Linked DNA regions of Lytechinus pictus. The protein of the gene in region 1 interacts with the protein of each later gene in a pairwise test. Links are inferred from orthologs where the notes say so. Each region holds a gene or a part of one and is shown in the gene's direction. Other genes may lie near its edges.

Region 1 (7,653 bases):
CATATGCATCTCGATCACTAGTCAAATATTAAGAGCGCGAAGCGCGAGCTGAAAATTTAGGAAATTTAGACCTGAAGAGGGGCATTCTAAGGCCTGCTTGTAGGAATTCACGAAAACCATGCTTATTTTACTAACCAAATGATGCGAGCGCGAAGCGCAAGATGAAATTTTTTAATATTCAGATCAGAAAAAGGGACATTTTAAGGTCTGATTTTAGGAATTCATGAAGAACATACATATCTCACCAATCCACGAATGCAAACGTAAGCACGGACAGGAAATGGTTTATATTAAGACCTTAAAATGGGGCAATCACTTTAATTAAAGGTCAAGTCCACCCCAGAAAATTGTTGATTTGAATCGATAGAGAAAAATCAAACAAACATAACGCTGAAAATTTCATCGAAATCAGATGTAAAACAAGAAAGTTATGACATTTTTAAGTTTCGCTTATTTTTCACAAAACAGTTAAATGCACAACTCAGCGATATGCAAATGAGAGAGTCGATGATGTCCATCACTCACTATTTCTTTTGTTTTTTATTGTTTGAATAATACAATATTTCAATATTTACAAATTTGACAAAAAGGACCAACTTAACTTAACCATAAACTGTTAAAATAATGACAATTCTACATGTTCAGGGAGAAATAAAACTTTGTTTCACTTGAAAAGGAGGAGAAATTTAGAATATTTCATATTCAATATAATAAAATACAAAAGAAATAGTGAGTGGGTGACGTCATCAGTCTGCCAATTTGCATACCGACCAGGATGTGCATATAACTGTTTTGTGAAATTAAGCGAAACTTTAAAATGCCATAACTTTCTTATTTTGCATCCGATTTTGATGAAATTTTCAGTGTTTTGCTTGTTGGATTTTTCTCCTTTTTTTCAAATCTACTTTTTGTTGGGGTGGACTTGTCCTTTAAGTAGTCATGAAAAAGAAGCATATGTCAATACATAAAACAATAATAATTTGAAGTGCGAGGAAATATATTTTGTGTATATTGACTTGAAAACGGGAGGTTTTAGTACAACAGGATTATATATCTTGTTAAACAGACAATGCGAGGACCAGGAACAATGAAGACATAGCCTAGGCCCTGCGCAAATTAGGCCTATGTTTCATAAATTTATGATTTTTTAATGTAATATAACATAACATAATTATAATATGATATAACATTATAATTAGCAATAATTTATTCTTTCCCCAGTATGTTTCTCTCCCTTTCTCCCTCTTTTTCTCTTTTCCCCCGTTTTTTTTTTGGCCAGCCGATTGGGGGGGGGGGGCACGTGCCCCCCATGCCCCCCCCCGTAGTTACGCCACTGCTCCTCGATACACAAATAAATACAATAGCATGATTAGCAAGACGGAAATAAATTAAAGATGACAAAAAGGCAAACAACAGCTGAAAATGAAGGTAGAATGGAATGAGTCAAAATATAAATTGGAAAATAAAGAAAAGGAACAAGACATTAACACTGCCGGGCTGCCGAGGATTGAAGATAACGAGCGGGAAGAAAGATGGATAATGTCGTATGAAAGTCTGTTATTACTTGCTAGATCTCCAAAGCTACCGGGGGCTCTATCCAAGAGCCCATGTAAAAATCAAATTTTGTGATAGATTTTGACATAATGTTAAAAAGATAATATCATATTCACCCTCCTCTCTTTCCTTTTTTCTCTCTTTTTTTGTACGCCACGGTGAACAGGATTTTTGTTATGATTGTGAGCATCAGGGCGAAGCTCTATATGCTCGAGTATGGCGCGCTTCTGGCAAGAAGTAGCTTAATATAGGTCCCGAGCGAGCGAAGCGAGCGAGATAAAAAAAATCACCTTTTCATGAGAATCTAACATAAAGATAGATTTTAACGTGATATTCAGAAAAATATAATACACTTTCCTTTCTTTCCTTATTTTTTGTTTGGTTGTAGAACTTTTGGGGGCCTTGGTCCAAACTCATCCATATAACAGTGCTTTATGGGTGGGGTCCAGGGCAGAGCCCCGGAACCTCTTGATATCAAATCCATTTTAAACCCGTTACAGATGGCCACTTATTTTAATCAAATTGCGTGTATATTTATATAGCTGTAACACAACACATAAATTCAATGCAGTTGTGTATCGTAATCATCCAAATATTGTGAAGGGCACACCAAAGCAAATGTGGGAAAATTTGTAAAAAGTCGCCAGCGAGCGAAGCGAGCCAGAAAAAAAAATGGCCTGTTAAAATGAAATTCTAATTATGTGATAGATTTTTACATCATTATAGCAAATATCATGTCATATATTTTTTTTTTCATTCATCTCATTTCGCTGCCTCCTTTATTTTCTTTTATTTCCCCTTGGCTGAGGAACCACCCCCGGTACGCCAGTCATTCAATGTAAAGCTTAATGCAGGAAGGGTCCATATAGGGGCCCGTTATAGAACCCATTAAAGGTTACAGATGAAGAGCCCCCACTGCACGGGAGATTGGAGATTTAGCAAGTTTATGATAGACTTTCATACGACATTATGCTATATACCATCCATTTTTCTTCCCGCTCGTTATCTCAATCCTCGGCAGCCCGGTAGTGTACGTTATCTTGTCCCTATTCTTTATTTTCCAATTTAGATTTTGGCTAATTCCATTCTGCCTTTATTTCCCGCTTTTGTTTGCCTTTTTGTCATCTTCAATTTATTTCCCTGTCTTACTAATCATGCTAATGTATTTGTATATCGGGGCGAATTTTTCTTTCTCACTTGTTCTTTTTTCCTTCCTTTTCCCGTTATCTTTCCGTTTTCCCTTTTTTTATGTATTTTCTTAGTTTTCTTTTCCCCTTCCCCTTTCCCCTTTTTTCTTTCCTTTCCCTTTCCCTTTCTTCCCCCCCCCTTTTTTTTCTTTTTCCCTTTTTTTTTAATTTTCCCGGTGAGCTCCGCCAGGGGGGGCAGCTTGCCCCCCCTGCCCCCCCGCCTGTTACGCCACTGCCTTTAAAGGGCTCTATAACGGGCCCCTATATGGACCCTTCCTGCATTAAGCTTTATGTTGAAGCACTGGCGTACCCGGGGGGGGGGGGGTACCACAGCCAAGGGAATATAAAAGAAAATAAAGGAGGCAGCGAAATGAGATGAATGAAAAAAAATATGTATATGACATGATATTTGTTATGATGTAAAAATCTATCACAATTACAATTTCATTTCAAAAGGCCATTTGCTATGTGTGCCCCCTCAAAATATTTGGATTATTACGGTACATAACCGCACTGGATTTATGTGTTGTGTGCCCTTGTGTGAAAGCTATATGAATATAAACGCAATTTGATTAAAATTAGTGGCCATCTGTAAGGTTTAAAATGGCTTTTATATCAAGAGGTTCTGGGGCGCACTGTTTTATGGATAAATTGGACCATGGCCCCCAAAGTTCTACAACTAACCACCCCCCCAAAAAAAAAAGAGGAAAGAAAGAAAAGCATGCAAGCCAAAGGAAAACTGTATTATATACTTTTTTTAATATATCACGTCCAAATCTTTCATGTTAGATTCTCATATGAAAAGGTTTTTTTTTTTTATCTCGCTCGCTTCGCTCTCTCGGGACTTAAAAGGAAAGAGAGAAGGATGAAATATGATATTATGTCAAAATCTATCACAAAATTTGATTTTTGCAATAAAATTATCAAAATTTTTGCTCGCTCGCATTTATATTTCTTTGTACGATACACCATACCACCCCCTCAAAATTTTTGCCTCATGACGCCATTGCCTGTTCCATGATATGACCGGGAAATTTTTGGCTCTTGCCCCCCCCCCCCCCCCCCCTCCCCGGCCACCAACCCCTGTTACGCCCCTGTAAAACAGGACTTGTCGGATACAAGTCCTTCATGAAACTCCCTTGCTTTGTTGTAGTTCCAATTTAGGGCCTAAGTTTTCATTTCAGATGGTAACCTTACAAGATACCATATTATATAAATACGGATGACTAATCGCCACTCCCAACATAACAACAAGAAGAGAAGTTATTTCATTTAGACGATTCCATTTTAATTATAGGGGTTATCTTGTAGATGATGATTATTATTATTATTTTTAACTTGGTTTAGCCATATCCATGAAAGTAATTTTTGAAAAAAATAATGAATATTTTTCACAGTTTTATTTCAGATAGTATTATTTCTATTTTTTTTTTTCTTAGAAAGACTTATAAAAATCTGATAGACCCTATGGGCAGGCGCCTATGCCCCGAAAATATTTGCAAGCTCCAGCTAGCTCCAGATATGCAGATCCAGCCAGCGCGCGTTCTACAAATTTTGGTAACTGCCCTGTAATTCACGGCATAATTAACCTCGCAAGACCGACGTATTTTCACACTTTCAAAGAGAAATCAGAGGTGATATTTAATGATTTATTAAACCTTGTTATTGTTTTCATTTGTGTTATGATCTTTCATTACTCTCAGCTTTCTTCACTTCTTCATTACTTTTAATCTTATTCACTTCTTGTGTCTGTCTGACGTGTTCACCAACCATTTTCTTGCCATCGGCATCGCACTGACTGGCCGCACAAGGGACAAGCAGCCTACGGTATATCGGTAGGGTGTCTGAAGCCACACTGAAAAGTGTCAGCATAAAACAGGCTGATTTAGGGGAAAATATGGCACATTTTTTCGGGGAAGTTCAGGCTACTAGAAAAATGTGATCTGAATTGATTATTAACTTGTGTTTGGCATGTATGGAAAGAGAAAATTCAGGGGCTTCTTTTGACAGTAAGGACAAGTTTATATATATGATCATTTTAAATAAGGAATAAAGGATCATTTACCGTAAGGGTACTAGTATTCAACCCGTTTGGAGAGTTTCCTCAAATATATAGAAATATAGAATTTACCTGAATTTCAGACCCGTCTTATTTCCAAGAGCAAATGCTGGTTATTCTTTTTCCGTTATTTTTTTCTTCAACCAGTTGACTGTGTGCGCGGGCGATCGAATTATACGGCGACGGATTTTAGTACTAGTATTCAACCCGTCGGCACTAGTATTCAACCTAGCGATGAAAGATGGCCCTGTCTCTCAATCTGCCCTTGTCCCATCCGACTATGGACTAGACCATTTGAGATGAGACCAAACAGGGAATTAATCAAAGCCAGAGACTTACATAGATCTAGATCTAATTTAGCAATCTAAACCCTTTTGAGATTTGCTATCAATCCTCACTAGGTTGAATACTAGTACCATTCAGTGCAAAAGGCCATCGCCGCATAATTCGATCCTCCGCGCATACAGTCGACAGATTGATAAAGAAAATACCGACAACAGATTACCCTGGACATAACAAAGGTATGAAATTAAGATAAATTCCCTATTTCTAAATATTTTGGGGAATATGTCAAAATCTTTGAATTATGCCGGGTTGAATACTAGTACCCATACGGTACTAGACTTAGACTTAGAGGTAAATTGCAACCCCTTATTTTTGTGTGTGTTGAGATTGCCATTTCTCCATGCGTTTTCTATGGGAAAATGAAATTTCTGTTTTGCACAATTTTTTTCACTTTGTCGCAATTTTTCATTGTGATCTGGTTTCCAAATCTTTATAAAAATCATACCATCAGATAGAGCATAAAAAATCCTATTCATTTATTGGACTCTAATTATGGACAGGTTTTTGGCATTAATAATAAATTTATAATTAACAGCTCTCGGAAGCTAAAAATTTGGATTTGTGTGTGTCCATTTCTTAACTACACAGTCTATGGCAGAGAAATGCTGAAAATTTACCTAATTTCATTCTTCTTTTTTGCAGCCAATAATTGGATTTTTTTCAAAAATGTTACATTTCTGTCAGTCTGAAGGTCATTTCTCTTCAAATTCACAAAGAAAATGTGATATTTTCTTGAAATAAGAAAAATAATTTTTTTCTCCAGACACCCTAAATTTTCTAATAGCGGTACCCCTCGGCTCTCCACGAAAAACAATTATTTTCGTGCGCGACAAATTATGATTCCAGACGCGCGTCGGACGGGTGAAGATATTAAACAAATACCGGTATATCAGGCTTTGAGAAAGTATAGTGGAATTATTTATCCGAGGTTGGTCTGACAACTACTAAATACTATTTTTCCCGAGGGGCGAAGCCCCGAAGGAAATAGTAATTAGTATGGCAGTGTATCCTATTACCGGACACCTTTATTTCAGTGCTTTAAAAATGAAAAACTAGAGGAAATACAATCAAGAAATATTTGCACTTGCTATTCCAAATATTATGAAAATTATGAATATGATAAAATTATTTCATATTTACCAACCGTTTTCTTTGCATCGCAATTGTCGCATACCCCTCCACGAAAAAGTTATTTTCGCGCGTGACAAATTACATCATGATTCCGGACGCGCGCCGGACGGGTAAAGATATTCTTCATTATAATGATGTAAGAAAGAATTTGTGTGAATTTTTCTTCATATATCATATCATGCATAAATTCTAAGCTTATGTTTTGTTTTTTTTCACATCAAATCTGAGCAGATGTTGGTAATAAATTTGTGTTTGATAAATTTTATTTTGACTTCTCAGCTGCATGTTCCATGCCCATGGCACTTTCCAATACTATGCTCGTTCGTATCGTAACGCTCATCAGGTTTGATGCGCTGTCGATCGATGGTCGACGGCTATAGTCACGGTAAACCTCGGGCACGGTATACCTCGAGTCTAGCCGTCGGCGATTAACCACAATACACCACACTTCATCATTCGATCGAAGGAGAGGACGGGACTGAAATTCGGCAAAATCAGGCCCATTTTTCCATCAGAAAATATATCAATTGTTAATGCAAAACTACGTTATATGATATTTAAATCATTTTCTGTCATTTTAGAGATAAATAAGGTAAAAATTGGATTTTTTCGCCTTGTTTTAGCAATCTTGTTCTATGAATTGCTCTGTGAAATTGAATTGCGGAAGTCTTACGGTACAAAATTGTTTTCGTACGCAGTACTATGCGCGTCCGGAATCATAATAGTGTCCGGTAATACAATACGTAACTGTACTATAGTTTTGCCAGCGCGCGCCAGTCCAACCGAGTATTAATAATTCCCACTACTCACTAGGCCTATATATTTCTATGCTTTCGAATGAAACGCCTGATATATTTGTTTTATATCCTACTTTTGATAATTTATAACCAAAATCTATGCGCTGAGCTTGCAAAGTCCGGTTACTTGCGTCAAATTACCTACTTTTCTCCGAGCCACCGCGCTCAGCGGAACGCAGATTAGTGCCTGCACCGACGCATCGCGGGATTTGCCCTGGAGTCTGGACTCGGGAGAGAGAGCTCGCTGGCCGGTGCGCCCGAGAGTTTAGCTAAATAACCAGTTTTCTGAAATAATGATGTCAGAAATATTGGTATAGCAAAAAATATATTGAGGTTTGACGTCACGCAACATCATAGTTGAAATATATTCGCTGACTCATTCATTATTGACCTGGGGGTGGTGGCTCAACTTGCCCCTAAAGGCCCTATGCTCAACTTACCCCGCCTTCCCCTATGCATACGGAGCGCTATTTTACTAAAGAACTTACGAAGATAAATTGTTTTATCACTCACTATTTGACGTCATTTTGGCAAGAAAGTGTTTGAGTTTAATTGCATCAATTGATAAAGTATAGACCTT
Region 2 (7,825 bases), on another chromosome or scaffold:
GATATTTTCACATAGTCCACTATGTGAGCACACTGTGATCACACTGTGTGCTCACTGTGTTCTTTCCAGAAGGGCTATTTCATTTATTCGTTTATTTAGAATTCTGTACCAATTAATTTAATTACTTATTTATTTACTCATTCAAATAATTTCATCTGTTTATCTTTAATTAGTTATTGAATTTTTAATTTAAACGAGGAGACAATATTTTTATCGAAGCTGATGTATCCCTGCTAGAAATATCACGCAGTCACAAGACTGTGAAACAGTGTGTCTGGCAATGCTGTCTTACACACTATGTTGCACATAGTTATTCCCATGCGATTAACAGGAAAAAGTTTTCACTCTGTGCATAAGTATTCAGTGTGTCAACACTGTGACTTAACATACAGTAGGTGACTTAATCACGGGGTAAAAACAGTTTCATCACACTTGTTTCACTCTATGGTTAAGATATATTTGTAATTATTCACAATGATGACACACTATGTAGGCTTACCACAGTGTGAAAACGTATTCCACATTTATGGCAGAGGGGTGGCCACGTGAGTGTGACACAGTGTGGAACATAGTACTGACACACTGGCACACTTGAAAGTTCGGGGTTCGATCGCCGGCTACGGCATCTATGTTTCCCCGCGAGCAATGCATTTAATCGATAGTGCTCTTTATCCTACATTCAAATAAATGGAAATGCAATATGCACTCTTAGAAACTTTGTGTACTTTTTTCTTTTAGAAAAATATATTGACTTCCTGTGTTTCCTTCTGGCAGGGGCCGCGCGCCTTGGCTTATTATTTTATCCCATGTTGATCGTTATTTATGATTATGGTGCGTAAATTATTATTTTTATCATTATCAACAAAGACAATCGGATGCCACTTTCTATTTCATTTTTTGTGGGAAAATGTATTTCTTGATTTCATTTTCAATCAAAATCAACAGCGGATATTTATTTTTTTCTCATAATATGGAAGTATTTTTCATTCATGTGTAAATAATATATGCAAAATATGTCTTCACACTGTGATCACATTGTGTTGAAAAAATGCAACAGAGTGGCAATTTTCTTCACAGTGTGGTCACTGTGTGGAACTATGTGAAATTATTGTGCAGTACAAATGCAGCCGCAGTGGATACCTTCTACACAGTGTGGTTTTATATAATCTTCACTGCGTGGGCGATGTGTGAACACACTGTGATAAATGAATTTCACAGTTGCAAGTTTCGAATGTGTGTCGAATAGCATGATTGTGTGAACACAAAAAACAAGTGTGTTTTTCGTTATCAATCAGTGAGGGAATGAAATCAAACAGTGTGAACCGTTTCACATGTGTCATAATGATACACGCATCACACCGTGCCCACATTGTTTTCACTGTGTTTTCAAAGTTGACTCACCGAGTGTTGACTATTTCCTGCATAGAGAAGTCCACATACATAAACATATATGTATATTCAATATAAATATTTTTCTCAATTTTTATTTTATTTCTGTTTTTATTATAATCATTTGTAAATTTTGTGATTTATTCAAATATAAATAAATTTAACCTGAAATGACAAGTGTGGATGTGTGTTTGAGTGTGTGTGGGAAAGTGGGTGTATGTTTGAGGGGGTGAGAGTGCTGGGATCATTATTATTGTTGTTGTTATCATATATATACATGATATCACTCACCTGGTACTAGTCCAACCTCATTTGGCCAAAACAACCCTCCGTCCAACACATCTGTATTCAATCGTCTCACATCGCCTTCTTCCACCAACTGTTTTGCTATATCACGCACAATATAGTTCGAATCTAGAGTATTTGGGATAGCTGAAAAGGTGCTGATACTGAGATCATATCCACCGACTCCTCCTGGCCGGGGCTCTATCGCCGTAAACGCTGGGTTCCGGATAAGAAACCATCCCAAATCTCTAGCTTCCCAGGCCCAGAACTGCTGGACAGGCAAAAATAAGCATAGTATAAATACCAAATTTGATGAAACGGTCATTTTCAGATCAAATTCCTCCTTTCTAGAGAGCAAAATTTAGGAGTGTTAATCAAACTTGCATGTTCTGAGCTCGTTATCTCAACGTGCAACTGATCATAACTACTTTAGAATTTCTTGGTCCGTTTGTTTAACTTTACGTTTTGGTCTACAACATCAGTGTAGCTCCCAAGAGTTGTTTAATTAATTAGTTATGAATTAAACTGTGATCAGTTCTATGGGTTAGGATGACCCCGTTAATCTTAGGTATACCAAAGGTCGGATTCGTATCAAACAATATGTAATTGAGGACGAGTTCGAGAATTACGAATGACATAATTCTTGAATTGGTTGTTTAGAGATCAAAGTCTTGGTCGCCGCAAGCCTGTCGCTATGTACATGATTATCATGTTTTGCGTCAATGTCATACAGATTTTTTTTTATAGTAATCACCAAGCAAGTGCCCCTGCCACCCCCTCGGTTCCGTCGCCCCTGCATGCAATTCCCGTATCTATAAGTTCTTTCCATGCCCGATCAGGTCAATTTCTGTATTTAGCGTTCTGTTCCCTTCTGCAAGTGCAGCTTAAAATTGAATAATTCCTTTCAAAATGTATTTATTTCCCCCTTTATAGCTCTTTTTTTTTCATAGTAAAATTTTTCTTCCGTGTGTCACTTTTTGATATGCCCATGATATTTATTTCTCATCAATGCCCCTTCTCTTTTCTCGTTTGTTCGAAATTTTAAGTCTGTTAGTTATAATTATAGTGTCATTTCCTTTCTTTTCTCTAGGGGTAGTGGAATCGGGAGAGGGGGGGGCAGGGTGATAATCCAAAAAAATTCCATAGGGAAAAAGTATATATTTTTCAAAATGAAATGTGCCCTTTGTAAGATAATACTTAAAAAAATATACGCATCTTAATTCGTCCTCAACTTTACTCCGCTGCCCCTGACCTGGACAATGATATGCATGACTATGTCAAATTAACCGAATCTTTATAACGTCATAATTATGGCTGACTTTCTTATCTTACATCATATTTTGATGACAAGTCAGCTCGCATACCCCAGCAGTACCCCTACGGATCGTAGGATTTAAAAGCTGAGTAATGTGTATAATAATATGATATTGTGTATGAAGACCAAGAAATATGTATAGAGCGTATATGCAAGTATACAACAGAAATATAAACATACTGTATAAAAGAAATAAAGATTTTTCGGATTTTAATAGTTTAAGGTGAGAAAAATATCCACTCAGAGTCATGTTGAGTTTCAAATTGATGTTCGTTTGTTTCAGATCATGTTCACGAAATGAGAGGATTTATGAACCCTTATCTCTTCTACATCTCAAATTGTGATTTAATTGATGAAAACATTATGAAAGGTAGTTATCATATTATCAATGATAATTGTCATTTCTATTTCTGTTTCTGTTTCATTAAGAACGAAATAAGCAGCCTTTTTATGTTTTGGCCAAATTATTTTGGATTCCAGATAAATATTAAGTGGATCAAAGTCAAAACACAAAAATTTCATATATTTAATTGATTTTTTTTTTCATTCATTTCTTTTATTTTATTTTTGTAAGAGTTAGTACACGAGCTATACATCTCTTTTTGATTGATCAATATCCTCCCTTCTTTCCTTTCTTTCTTAAAAAATATATTTTGTTCTTCTTCCCTCATTTTTCAATTTAATACCATAGGGAGGCGGTCGGAGGTCGCCCCTATGTAGATGGGAGAAAATATAAAAAAAAAAAAAAAGAAAAGGGTGGAATACAATATTTTCTTCTGGATGTCATGTCAGAATCTATCACAATATTATACTTTTTATTAACTTTGTCAATTTTATGCGCGCTTGCTTTGTTTGCTTAATCTTTGGAGAAAGTCTCCCATAGATGCTATCTTCTCTGGTCCCCTTATTAATTTAGGCTTCATGCCACTTTCATTGGGTCAAACCGACTGTTTAAACCCCCTTTTGCAAAAAGCTTGATCCGCCACTGATATATAAACCAATCATAGAGGTGTATCTTTTATGAATCAATACTCAATTTTACCAGTAAACAAAAAACGGTATTTAAAAAAATCGAGTTCATATCGTTTAGCCGAGTTTCCCACTGTTTTCACTTTGAAGGAAATTACCCGATTTCCGGGTAATCCGGATCATTTTCAGGTAATTTTCGGGTAATGAAAAAAATCCAGGTAATTCCGGGTAACCAGAAAATTACAATTAAACTTTTCAACTTTAATATTCATGTTATAAATTTGTTTACCTCGATACGTAGCTCAAAATTGTGGTCTCGCGCCCCGCGCTCGCAATTCGTAATTTTGTTCCTATTTTAAAAGAGAGTGAAAAAAAATGTTGAATTCCTTGATTTTGGTCACTTGGACCAAATTTAGGCTCGCTGTATTATTGCCCGATTTTAGTTAGAAATAAAACTTGAAAATTCTAGGAAATGTCTATGAATTTCGGGAAATTTTGGAATAAGTTTCGGGAAATTTGTTTTGGATCTGTTGAAACACTGAGCTTTCCATAGGCTGCTGCGCGCGCTCCGTTCGAATTTTGACTGGCAAACCTGCGGGCTGCGAATCGCTTTAATAAAGTTTATTAAACTAAAAACTGGAATTAGTGACGTTAAATGATGAATGATGAGAATCGTGTTTTCAGCTGTTCTAAAGAATTAGAGAAGTGACAAGAAGATGGTAAGTTCTCCATATTATATTAAATGTACCGTATTAAAAAGTCGTGAGTTGTAAAGTTATTTAGAGACGGTGTCAGCGGGACCAGCAAGCCAGGCAGCAAGGCAATTACCGTACGGTACGGTACCTGAATTAGATTAGGCAAGGGTCAGGCGCCGAGCAGCCGGGCGCACCCCGCTGGGTGCTAGCTGCACAGAGCCGCGGATCCAGGGAGAAGTGCAGTGGCCAGGCCTGTTACTTAGTTAGACTAGTCTAGAGTTAGAAGGGTCTTTGCCTTTACAAGGCTTTGGTAGAACCTAGTCTTGAGCACTTGTTCACTGCAACCACCCTGCCTGTGGGGAATCTACAGGTTGGATTATGGCATGCCAATGCTGTACAGAGCACACACTTTGAAAAATAATTAAAATATCACTTTTGTGACCAAAATTACTAATTTCCATATAGGCCTAGGCCTAGTTGCAATTTATTTTTCATTAGTAACTTGAGAATAATTTTGTATTCACTAGAGCGCTTAAAAACTTGAATTTTGGGCATATTTGTGTGTACGCCCTCTATTGGTGGAAAATAATATGGCAAGAAAATTTTCATTTTTTATCTCTATTTTTAATTAAGAAAAAAATAATTTAAAGAATCAAATATACTTAAGGGCCAAGTTGTATGACAAATAGGGGTAATGGAAACTGTCAGTGTAAAAAAATCAAGTATTTGTCCCAAAGAAAAAGAGAAAATAAGCCAAACATTGCCATCCTTATTTTACCACACATGGAGATATAACTGAGAACAAGGTTATATCATAACCTTGTTCATTGAATGAGTGGTCTTGAGGACTCAAGGGGCCCGATTGCACGAAAGGGTCTTTGCAAGGACCGTCTTTCGTGTCGCCCATTTTTTATGATGCGCCATATGAAACGCATTTCAAATAAATTATCTGCAAACATATTTTATTCGTCCATTGAAATAAACAAACTAGGCCTATTTGTTTATAAAATGATGTGATATCTCACAAAGTTGTATAAATTTGATTTAAAAGCAAGCTTACGAATTGTATTTGATTATCATAAATTTCAGAAACACCCCGCTTGTATGATGGGGGGACCTAAAGCTACGCACTTTGTTTCCAAACGATAAAAACTATGCCAATTTTAATATTTGAACAATTATTTTTCACTAATTTGTAATAAATATTCTAAATATCCTTAACCAAGAAGAAAATATCACAAAACTCACGAATACGAAAATCCCGCCGTGTTTTCCGAACACCTCTTAATTTCGCCGCCCGATGTAGAAGGGGTCCTAAAGCTACGCACTCAATTTATCATGCAAAGAAATAGTATTTCCTGTGCCTCAATTTCTAAAATATGTCCGTATTATTATAGGAAAATATGAAATCAAAGTGAATATAACTCCGAAATTCCAAACATTTGCTGGTTTTCTCTGCATTCAAGGGTTTATTGCAGCCTCTGTAAAAAAATTGAATAGGGATCGTTCGTCACAGCTTCACACACAGAGCTAGAGTGCGCATTTATTTTGCCATTGGAATTGCATGCGCGATGAGTGGTGCGTAGCTTTAGGACCCGCGTAGCTTTAGGACCCCCAACCACTTGTACTGTAGTTGTACTGTAGCGCATTATAAAGATGGGCGACACGAAAGACGGTCCTTGGAAAGACCCTTTCGTGCAATCGGCCCCATGATGTTATACTTCTTCACCATGGAGTATAAGCTTGTAACCGATTTTGCAATCGGCAACCGATTCCATTCGATTTCACCACAATCGGCAATCACTTGCCGATCTTCGATCATGCCCCTTGAAGGAAAAAATCGAAAATAAAAAATTGGCGTAGATCTGGTTACAGTGCGTGATCGCTCAGAACATATTTCAAGATTGTTTTTGAGGTGCTAGCTATTTAGAGGTCGCATTATTCAGGGAGAAAGACGCGGTATTATCTATGGCGATGTTTAAGAGGATAGATATCTTCTCCTCCAACTCATGGTGATAGCGGATGCCGCCGTGAACTTTGAAAGGTCGTATTACCGACGGAGCTCACTGCGTTACTCTCTTACATCGTTTATGATGATATACATTTTATTTTCAACCTCGTGGTGATAGCGGATGCCGCCGTGAACTTTGAAAGGTCGTATTACCGACGGAGCTCACTGCGCTACTCTCTAACCCCGTTTATAATGATATAAATCTTCTCTTCAACCTCGTGGTGATAGCGGACCCCGCCATAAATTTTTAAAGACTGTACTATTGACGGAGCTTATTGCGTTACTCTCTTACATCGTTTATGATGATATACATTTTATTTTCAACCTCGTGGTGATAGCGGACCCCGCCGTGAACTTTTAAAGATCGTGCTACTGACGGAGCTTATTGCGTTGCTCTCTTACATCGTTTATGATGATATTCATTTTATATTCAACCTCGTGGTGATAGCGGAAGCCGCCGTGAACTTTGAAAGGTCGTACTACCGACGGAGCTCACTGCGCTACTCTCTAACCCCGTTTATAATGATATAAATCTTCTCTTCAACCTCGTGGTGATAGCGGACCCCGCCATAAACTTTTAAAGACTGTACTATTGACGGAGCTTATTGCGTTGCTCTCTTACATCGTTTATGATGATATTCATTTTATATTCAACCTCGTGGTGATAGCGGAAGCCGCCGTGAACTTTGAAAGGTCGTATTACCGACGGAGCTCACTGCGCTACTCTCTAACCCCGTTTATAATGATATAAATCTTCTCTTCAACCTCGTGGTGATAGCGGACCCCGCCATAAACTTTTAAAGACTGTACTATTGACGGAGCTTATTGCGTTACTCTCTTACATCGTTTATGATGATATACATTTTATTTTCAACCTCGTGGTGATAGCGGATGCCGCCGTGAACTTTGAAAGATCGTGCTACTGACGGAGCTTATTGCGTTACTCTCTTACATCGTTTATGATGATATACATTTTATTTTCAACCTAGTGGTGATAGCGGATGCCGCCATGAACTTTGAAAGGTCGTATTACCGACGGAGCTCACTGCGCTACTCTCTTACCCCCTTTATAATGATATAAATCTTCTCTTCAACCTCGTGGTGATAGCGGACCCCGCCACAAACTTTTAAAGACTGTACTATTGACGGAGCTTATTGCGT
Region 3 (7,612 bases), on another chromosome or scaffold:
AACTGTCACTTATTAGGTGTGTCTGTCACTGTGTCAAGTCAATGATTGTCTGTAACTAATATTGAATCATTTATTCATTGCAGAGATGCCTGTCTTATGATCAGGATTTCATATTTGTTACTTCAGATATTGGTTTTTGGATTGAGACGATATCTATAGGTTATTTTCTTAAAAGCATGAACAAGTGGGACATAGAATTATCCTATTCCAAACAATTAGGGGTAATCCAAATACCTGCTTTATTATTGTTATTTTTTATATCTACAACTCTTTCATATACACAATACACATGTTTTCTATGAATGCTTGTGAAATAATGGTTCAGTACTATACTTGATTACTGAGCATAATTGGATGCACTGTACCTATAAAACTCATTCACTCTCATGAGTATGAATACAGTATGTGAATACTTGAGGAATTATATTTGCACATTAAGAGTATTACATGTACGTGTAAGTATTCTTAAAGGTCAAGTCCACCCCAGAAAAATGTTGACTGGAATAAAAAGAGAAAAATCAAACTAGCATAACGCTGAAAATTTCATCAAAATCGGATGTTAAATAAGAAAGTTATGTCATTTTAAATTTTCGCTTATTTTTCACAAAACAGTGATATGCACAACTCGGTGACATGTAAATGAGAGAGTCGATGATGTCCTTCACTCACTATTTCTTTTGTTTCTTATTGTTTGAATTATACAGTATTTTATTTTTTACAGATTTGACAATAAGGACCAACTTGACTGAAACATATAGTATTAAATAAAGTTAATTCCACATGTTCAGGGAGGAATTAATTGTTGTTTCACTTGACAATGAGGAGAAAATTCGAATATTTCATATTTCATATAATAAAATACAAAAGAAATAGTGAGTGGATGACGTCATCAGTCTCCTGATTTGCATACCGACCAGGATGTGCATATAACTGTTTTGTGAAATTAAGTGAAACTTTAAAATGTCATAACTTTCTTATTTTACGTCCGATTTTGATGAAATTTTCAATGTTATGCTTGTTGGATTTTTCTCTTTTTATTCTCATCAACTTTTTGTTGGGGTGGACTTGTCCTTTAAATTTATGTTCTGGAGAACAGCATGCCTTTGTGTGGGTATTATGTAATTCACTTGGTATTGTTTAAACCTTAAAGAAAAAGATCAAAAATATTAATTTAGGTAATCCAACGTTGTCAATAAATGTATTTTGACTTGTGTTCATAATGATTTTATGAAAAAACTAAAATGATGAATACTGTACATGACATAGTTTCAAAGCACTATCAGCCCCAAACTGGTTGCTACTTGACTACAAAAAATACTACTTGATTATTATTTTTTTAATGGGTTTTATGTGGTACCTGCACAGGTGTAATTATGTTTCATGTATGGTCATTGTGATAGGATGAATGTGATGCTGATATATGATAAGATGTTTTTTTAAACTAATGAAGATGAACACGAGGGCTGGTCCCTTTTTCGTTTGATTTATTATTTGCAAACGGTGGAGTCAAGCTTGTGGCTGTGAAGTTGGTTGTAAAATTTGTATTTATTATGAGAGAGTGGTTTATTATCAAAATATGGTTGATTACAGTGGCACCTGTGACCCGGAGGAGACAAAGCATTGGAGGGGCACAACATTGTTCACAAACAATACAGTGCCCCTCCAATCATTGTCTCCTCCGGGTCACGGTCCGCCACTGGTTGATTATATTCATAATTGCATTTATTATAAAATGCAATTAATTTTCTTTTATTCAAAAGGGTACAGAACAGTGAAAGTATCATTTAAAAAAGCTTGAATAAGTTTGGCTTTGATTTATTTTGAATTTATAATTTGAAAAGGTCGAAGAAATATGAACTTTGTGATTTCAACCATTGCTACTCTATTCTCATCCATCCAAAGCTCCCTTTTCTCTCTCTCCCCCTCTCTCACTCTGTCACACACCATTTTTACACCCCACCTGCTCACTCTTTCTTTTTCTCGTAGATTCAGAATTGATAAATATCTATTTTCACTTTGTTACATGAAGGTACACTGAAGGGTTTATTTATTTTATTTATTGTCATTTTTGTAGAATGAAAATTATAATGAGTTACTGATTATTCTGATTATACATGTATATTTACTTAGTAATATTACAGGCCAATGGGAAGTATTACATGTTTTCATGATTGATAATCACACAGTAATTGAAATATATCTATACAGTATGCGTATGAGCAGTACAATGAATGATCTATTACCAAAGTAATTTTTTTTTCAGGATTTGTTCAAATCCCACCTTGGCATGATCATTATTTGGCAAGATGTCATTTGACAATTTGCTTCTCTCCACCCAGGTGTTGAATGGTGACTTAGTAGGATAAGGAAAGTGTGTAGTGTTCTTAGTAATTTAAGTTCTCTCTTGTTTGAATCTTCCCCTAGGAAGTAGGCTCACAGCTTCAATATATGCATGGCTGTATGCAAAGGAGGAGGGGGGGGGGTGGGTAGTACCCCCCCCCCCCGGAAATTTTGAAAACTTACATTTTTTACTGATTATTTAAAAAAAAAAACTATGTACAAAATCCTTCAATTTCACTTCACAAAATGCAAACGTGCCCCAATAAAAGCTTGGTCGCTTCTCTTCCTCGTTTTCGATTTTTTTTTTCCTCAAAAAATTTTACACGTCCTAACCCCCCCCCCTCCAAAAAAAAAAATAGTATTGAAAATAATTTCTGTGTATAGCCATGAATATGTGAAAGCAATTAAGTCAGAGCTTGATGAACAGGGTAATGATACAGCACTTAGAATAATAATCCTTGGGAGCATTTCGTCAACATTTTTTGTCCGATTGATTTTGATTAGCTGAGAAGCAATGTTGCTATGATCAATGTTGGATAAAACAGGTTTGTTCAATTCATTGAGTATTATAAAATGTTGATTATTGTGATTATTATTTTCATGCATTAAAAAAATAATTATGATTACAATTGACAAATGATATATAAAGGAAGTTAATGGCAATTGATTGTACTGCCATAACATTATATCCATTTGTTGGAGATTTTTTAGAATAATGGGATGGTTTTCATCAGTGTCAAAAATATGTTCTATTAAAAGATTTTTATTGTCATTTCGATTTTGATGATTTTATTATTTTTGTGCCATTATTGTATCAGTGCAAGCAAGAGGACTCATTAAAAATAATGTAAATAGTACAGAATGTCTTACTCATTATTACTCTTTATCAGAGTCTTAAGTATGGTGCTCCGGGAAAACTTGTTGAGTAGTGTCAAACAGCTTCATGGACTTATCAAACCTCTCAGAAATGTATTTTGTTACTAGGGGGAAAAATGCAACTACAGCAGTCCAAATATGATAGTTTGTGCACATTATTAGTTAATATATTTTTGTTCAATTTATCAATTACTGCACAACCTTCCCTGCCACCCTTGAAGGTTGTGTAATATTTTCATATACAACACACAAAATCTCTAAGGAGAATTTCTACTTTTTATTCTCCTAACCCTCGTCTCCTCCTTCCTCTTCTTGTTCTTGTTCGTCTTCTTCTTCTCCTTCTTTTCTGCAGACCTCACTCCGATCAAGTGGCGCCTGAGGTAATTTTCCGTTTGTCCCCTGCCCCTTTCTTTTCTGCCCTCTTTTGTTTATTCCTCTGATCCTTTCTTATCTTTGCTCTCTACCTTGGCAAGATGTGGCATATTGTGTAAAATTTATGAAAGGCTGTGAGCGACGCGAGCGCAAGCAAAGAATTTGACATTTTTCTTAAAAAAAAAATCAAATTTGATAGATTTTGACATAACTTTCAGAAAATAATATATTTCACCCATCTCTCTTTTTCTTACCTTTTTCTTTTCTTAGTCGTAATTGTTTTTTTTTGTTTAGGGAGGGGGGGGGGGAGAGCCATCTGTACACCCCGGTGTACACCAGTGCTTTTTAATTTTCTCCATTATTTCCCCCTCTCCTTCTTTAGTTACTATTTTTTTCGATTTTTTTTTCTTTCCATTCTTCCTTTTATTAGATTAATTAGATATATTAATGTAAACAAACATTTTTTAAAACAAAATGTATGCGAACATTATATGCATGTAGTTATAACTTCGTATAAATACAATGTAGTAACATATTTCATTTCGTCCTCGCTTCTTCTCCTTCGCCTCCCTCTTCCCAAAATGTCAAAATACTAGTACATGCGAAATAGTGTTCCTGGATTAAAATGCGAAATCAGCTATTGCGCCCTCTTTCGTTAATCAATCTTGGTTTAGTCAAATCACGTGACCTTCGCTCATTTCACGACTTCACGTTCATTTTTTATTTTTCATTTTTGTACGACTATTGCATGTCTGCGCGGTCTAGGCCCTACTCGTATATTGCACGTCTATTTACTGTGCTTTTGCGCTTGCATGCTGCTGTGCGTATTTCGCGATCGTAAACTGAATTTGCGCTTGAGGCCAGGATCTCCGTTGCTTTTGTGAATGAATGAGATCTCATCTTTTTGCCGAGTCGTCGAGATACCCGGATTTCTTTTCATCTCGCCGAATAACAGTTTACATGCCCACGACTTTGTCGTGAATTGCAACCTTTTAACGTTAGGGTGAGTAAATCGTAGTCTATCAACACACATTTGAATGACATTCTGACAAAATGCACTGCACTGCCACTGGCACACACCACAGTGCAGTGCATGCAGAGCAGACTGCACAGCATGCAGCAGTGCCAGCCATAGTCATAGACCAAAACTAAAACAAGCTTCGGTCTCCAGGTCTCTGTTAATTTTGTTATGTTGGTTGTTCAGCTGAACTCCGTTGGCTTCACTCACCAAATACAGAGACCGAAGTTTTAGCGCGATCTGTACAGGGGACTCAATGGCAATATGTTTATGTACTTAAGTCAAGATCGGATAAAACGGGGAAGTGAATTTGCGCGACAGCCGAGGTAAGTCACTGACACTGTTTTTGTTCCTTTTAACTTGATTTTTCTCCGTTTTTTGGCAATTAATGCCAAGAGGGAATATTAATTTGCATTTTGGTCGCGTTAATTTTCAAAATTTTTATTCATTAAAGACAAAAATTGAAGAGCCCCGACGGGGGGATTTTGCATTGCAAGTCCCCTAATCAATGGTGGTGGCTGCACGCTAGCGAGCCGTCTGTGTATGAGGAGAAATTAAAAAAATAAAAAAGTTAAAAAAACTCCTCGAAACCGACGGCTGCCAGCTGTCTATGCCAGCCAGTGCAGTGGCACTGCATCTTTTTTCCTTTTCATTCAAGTTTCATTATCCACTCACACGTATTTAGCCAGGCGGCTTCTAACAAGTTAGAGAGTAAAAATCATTTACTAACGTAAGGTCACTCTCATACGAAGCCAGGGCTTCCGTCATATACTTTTGCGTGTACCACCAGAAAACCTGAAACTTTCGCCCCCGAGATTTCTACTTTCTTTCTAAAAGATCTAGCCCTAAATCATGTATGGTTGGAACTACCCCTTATCGACCACCTAATCTTCTCAGCATCGTATCTGCAAAAATATTCATCAATTTTACCCAGTTTTAGTCCCATTTGTGCAGAAAATTGAGAAGATCAGATTCCCATGTTTCGCTCGGCGACTCCGATTCAATCCGCGTATATATCGACGAACAATGAATACGACGATTTTACATTTGCTCATTTGCACCCGTCTTTTGAAACCGACCACCCGCGATACACTAAGTTTACGGCCGATTCTTGTAAATATTTTTACTCTTCCAAATCAGTTCTATGATGTCAACATGCTAAATGATCGTCTCACTACTTCCGCTGCGAGCTCCGCGCCGGCACATGATTCGACGATTGACGACGGATATTTGTTCTAAAGCCGTTTCCTATCGGATTTCTTGGTTTTTCAGCGGGAATTGGGTCTGGTCAATACAATTTTGATTAATTCTACTAAATTTTTACTTTTTGTTGCTTCTTTTTTTCTCGTAAAATCGATTCTTACCGTTTCTATGGACACTGCGCCTACTCTCCCGCGCGTATCGTTTGTAATACGCAATAATTTTATCGCGCGCAAGGTGGTCGGTTTCAAAAGAGGTGGTCGATATGTGGTAGTCTCACCATACATGGGATACAACTTCATTTCTACGCTATGGATTTTATTTTTAGACAAGAATTCATCAAAAAAAAATGAGAAAAATATCATGAATAGACGGAAGAGACTTGCCCGATGTTTACGCCGCCATCTTGTTTTCTATTTATTGTTCTTCACCCATGATACGGACGCTTGCGTCGCGTAACGTTGGGGAAGAACAATAGAAAACAAGATCATGAAGATGGCGGCGTAAACATCGGGCAAGTCTCTTCCGTCTATTCATGATATTTTTCTCATTTTTTTTGGATGAATTCTTGTCTAAAAATAAAATCCATAGCGTAGAAATGTCGGAAATGAAGTTGTATCCCATGTACATGATTTAGGGCTAGATCTTTTAGAAAGAAAGTAGAAATCTCGGGGGCGAAAGTTTCAGGGTTTTTGGTGGTACACGCAAAAGTATATGACGGAAGCCCTGGCTTCGTATGAGAGTGACCTAACGTTAGTAAATGATTTTTACTCTCTAGAAGCCGCCTGGCTACACGTATTGCGGGGTTTTTTTTTTTACTATACTAATACTAACCTTGCACAACCAACGCAATGGTTTTTTGAGTTGTCCTTTAGACTTTTTAGTGCTTTAGCCTTTACCTTTACCCGAGTCGAGATTCTGGAAGAATGCTGATGATCCCAGGCCCAGCACAGCAGTCGTGCTTCCACTGAAGTTCCAATTCAAGTCCTTCATCCTTCTTGTTAGTTAGGTATCTTCATAGGCTAGCAGTCTAGCTTGGAAATCTACACCGTCCTCGACATTAGTATGGTTTATTCATCATAGGGTGAGCAGTACCGCTGGTCAGCCCACACCTTGTCTAGCCTTATTTTAAAACTGTTCACCGTCTGAGCTGTGAGTGTGAGTGTGACAACCTCTTGGGGCAGCGAATTCCAGTCATTTATGACACGCTGGCTGAACAGTAGAGGCGCACGGCCAATATTGGAGACTGTCTCCAATGTGGGAGATTATCTTCCATATCAGAGACTTTTGTAAAGAATTTGGGTATCCAATTTCAGAGACAGTCTCCAGTTTTGGAGTCCAATTTCCTTTGTTTACATTTGCTGCCAAAGGATTACCTTGGCGGCAAATAAAAATGTGATAAGCAGATTCCTCATGAAAAATTACCCCTTTTCACCGTCTACTTTAAAAATTCACCGTCTTCTTTTATTTTGATAAGGAATTTTGTTGTCAATCACATACAAAACAAATGGGCTTCTGACCTCAGTGAGACAAAATTTTGGGTGGAAAAAATCATACTTTTGTTGGTGTTGTTTCTTTTGTCCTTTTGCAAAGCAAGTCTCCAATGTGGGAGATTGTCTCCCCTATTGGAGAGAGTCTCCCATATTGGCCGTGCGCCTCTACTGCTGAATACATCTTGTCTGATCTTAGTCGCTTCATAACGCGAATAATGTTAGCCAAAACTCATTCCGCTACTCACCAGGGCTTTTTCTGGTGATAAGATTCCATTTTCAATTTTACAAATATTTTTCTATATAAAAACCACAT

Evidence for each region.
Region 2: the proteins of DNA repair protein RAD51 homolog A (region 1) and DNA repair and recombination protein RAD54-like interact in a two-hybrid assay, tested with the Caenorhabditis elegans proteins (3 studies listed by BioGRID). The link is inferred for Lytechinus pictus from reciprocal best matches to the Caenorhabditis elegans genes rad-51 and rad-54.L.
Region 3: the proteins of DNA repair protein RAD51 homolog A (region 1) and SUMO-conjugating enzyme UBC9-B-like interact in a two-hybrid assay, tested with the Caenorhabditis elegans proteins (2 studies listed by BioGRID). The link is inferred for Lytechinus pictus from reciprocal best matches to the Caenorhabditis elegans genes rad-51 and ubc-9.

Annotation. Positions count from the first base shown.
Region 1 is NC_087251.1:40,097,324-40,104,976, forward strand, and holds the start of DNA repair protein RAD51 homolog A, read left to right. Parts: upstream 1-4,216; 5' UTR 4,217-4,222; coding exon 4,223-4,375; intron 4,376-7,653.
Region 2 is NC_087255.1:21,260,743-21,268,567, reverse strand, and holds the start of DNA repair and recombination protein RAD54-like, read left to right. Parts: upstream 1-4,521; 5' UTR 4,522-4,674; coding exon 4,675-4,677; intron 4,678-7,825.
Region 3 is NC_087254.1:20,337,364-20,344,975, forward strand, and holds the start of SUMO-conjugating enzyme UBC9-B-like, read left to right. Parts: upstream 1-4,249; 5' UTR 4,250-4,591; intron 4,592-7,612. UniProt on the Caenorhabditis elegans protein: Accepts the ubiquitin-like protein smo-1 from the aos-1-uba-2 E1 complex and catalyzes its covalent attachment to other proteins with the help of an E3 ligase such as gei-17.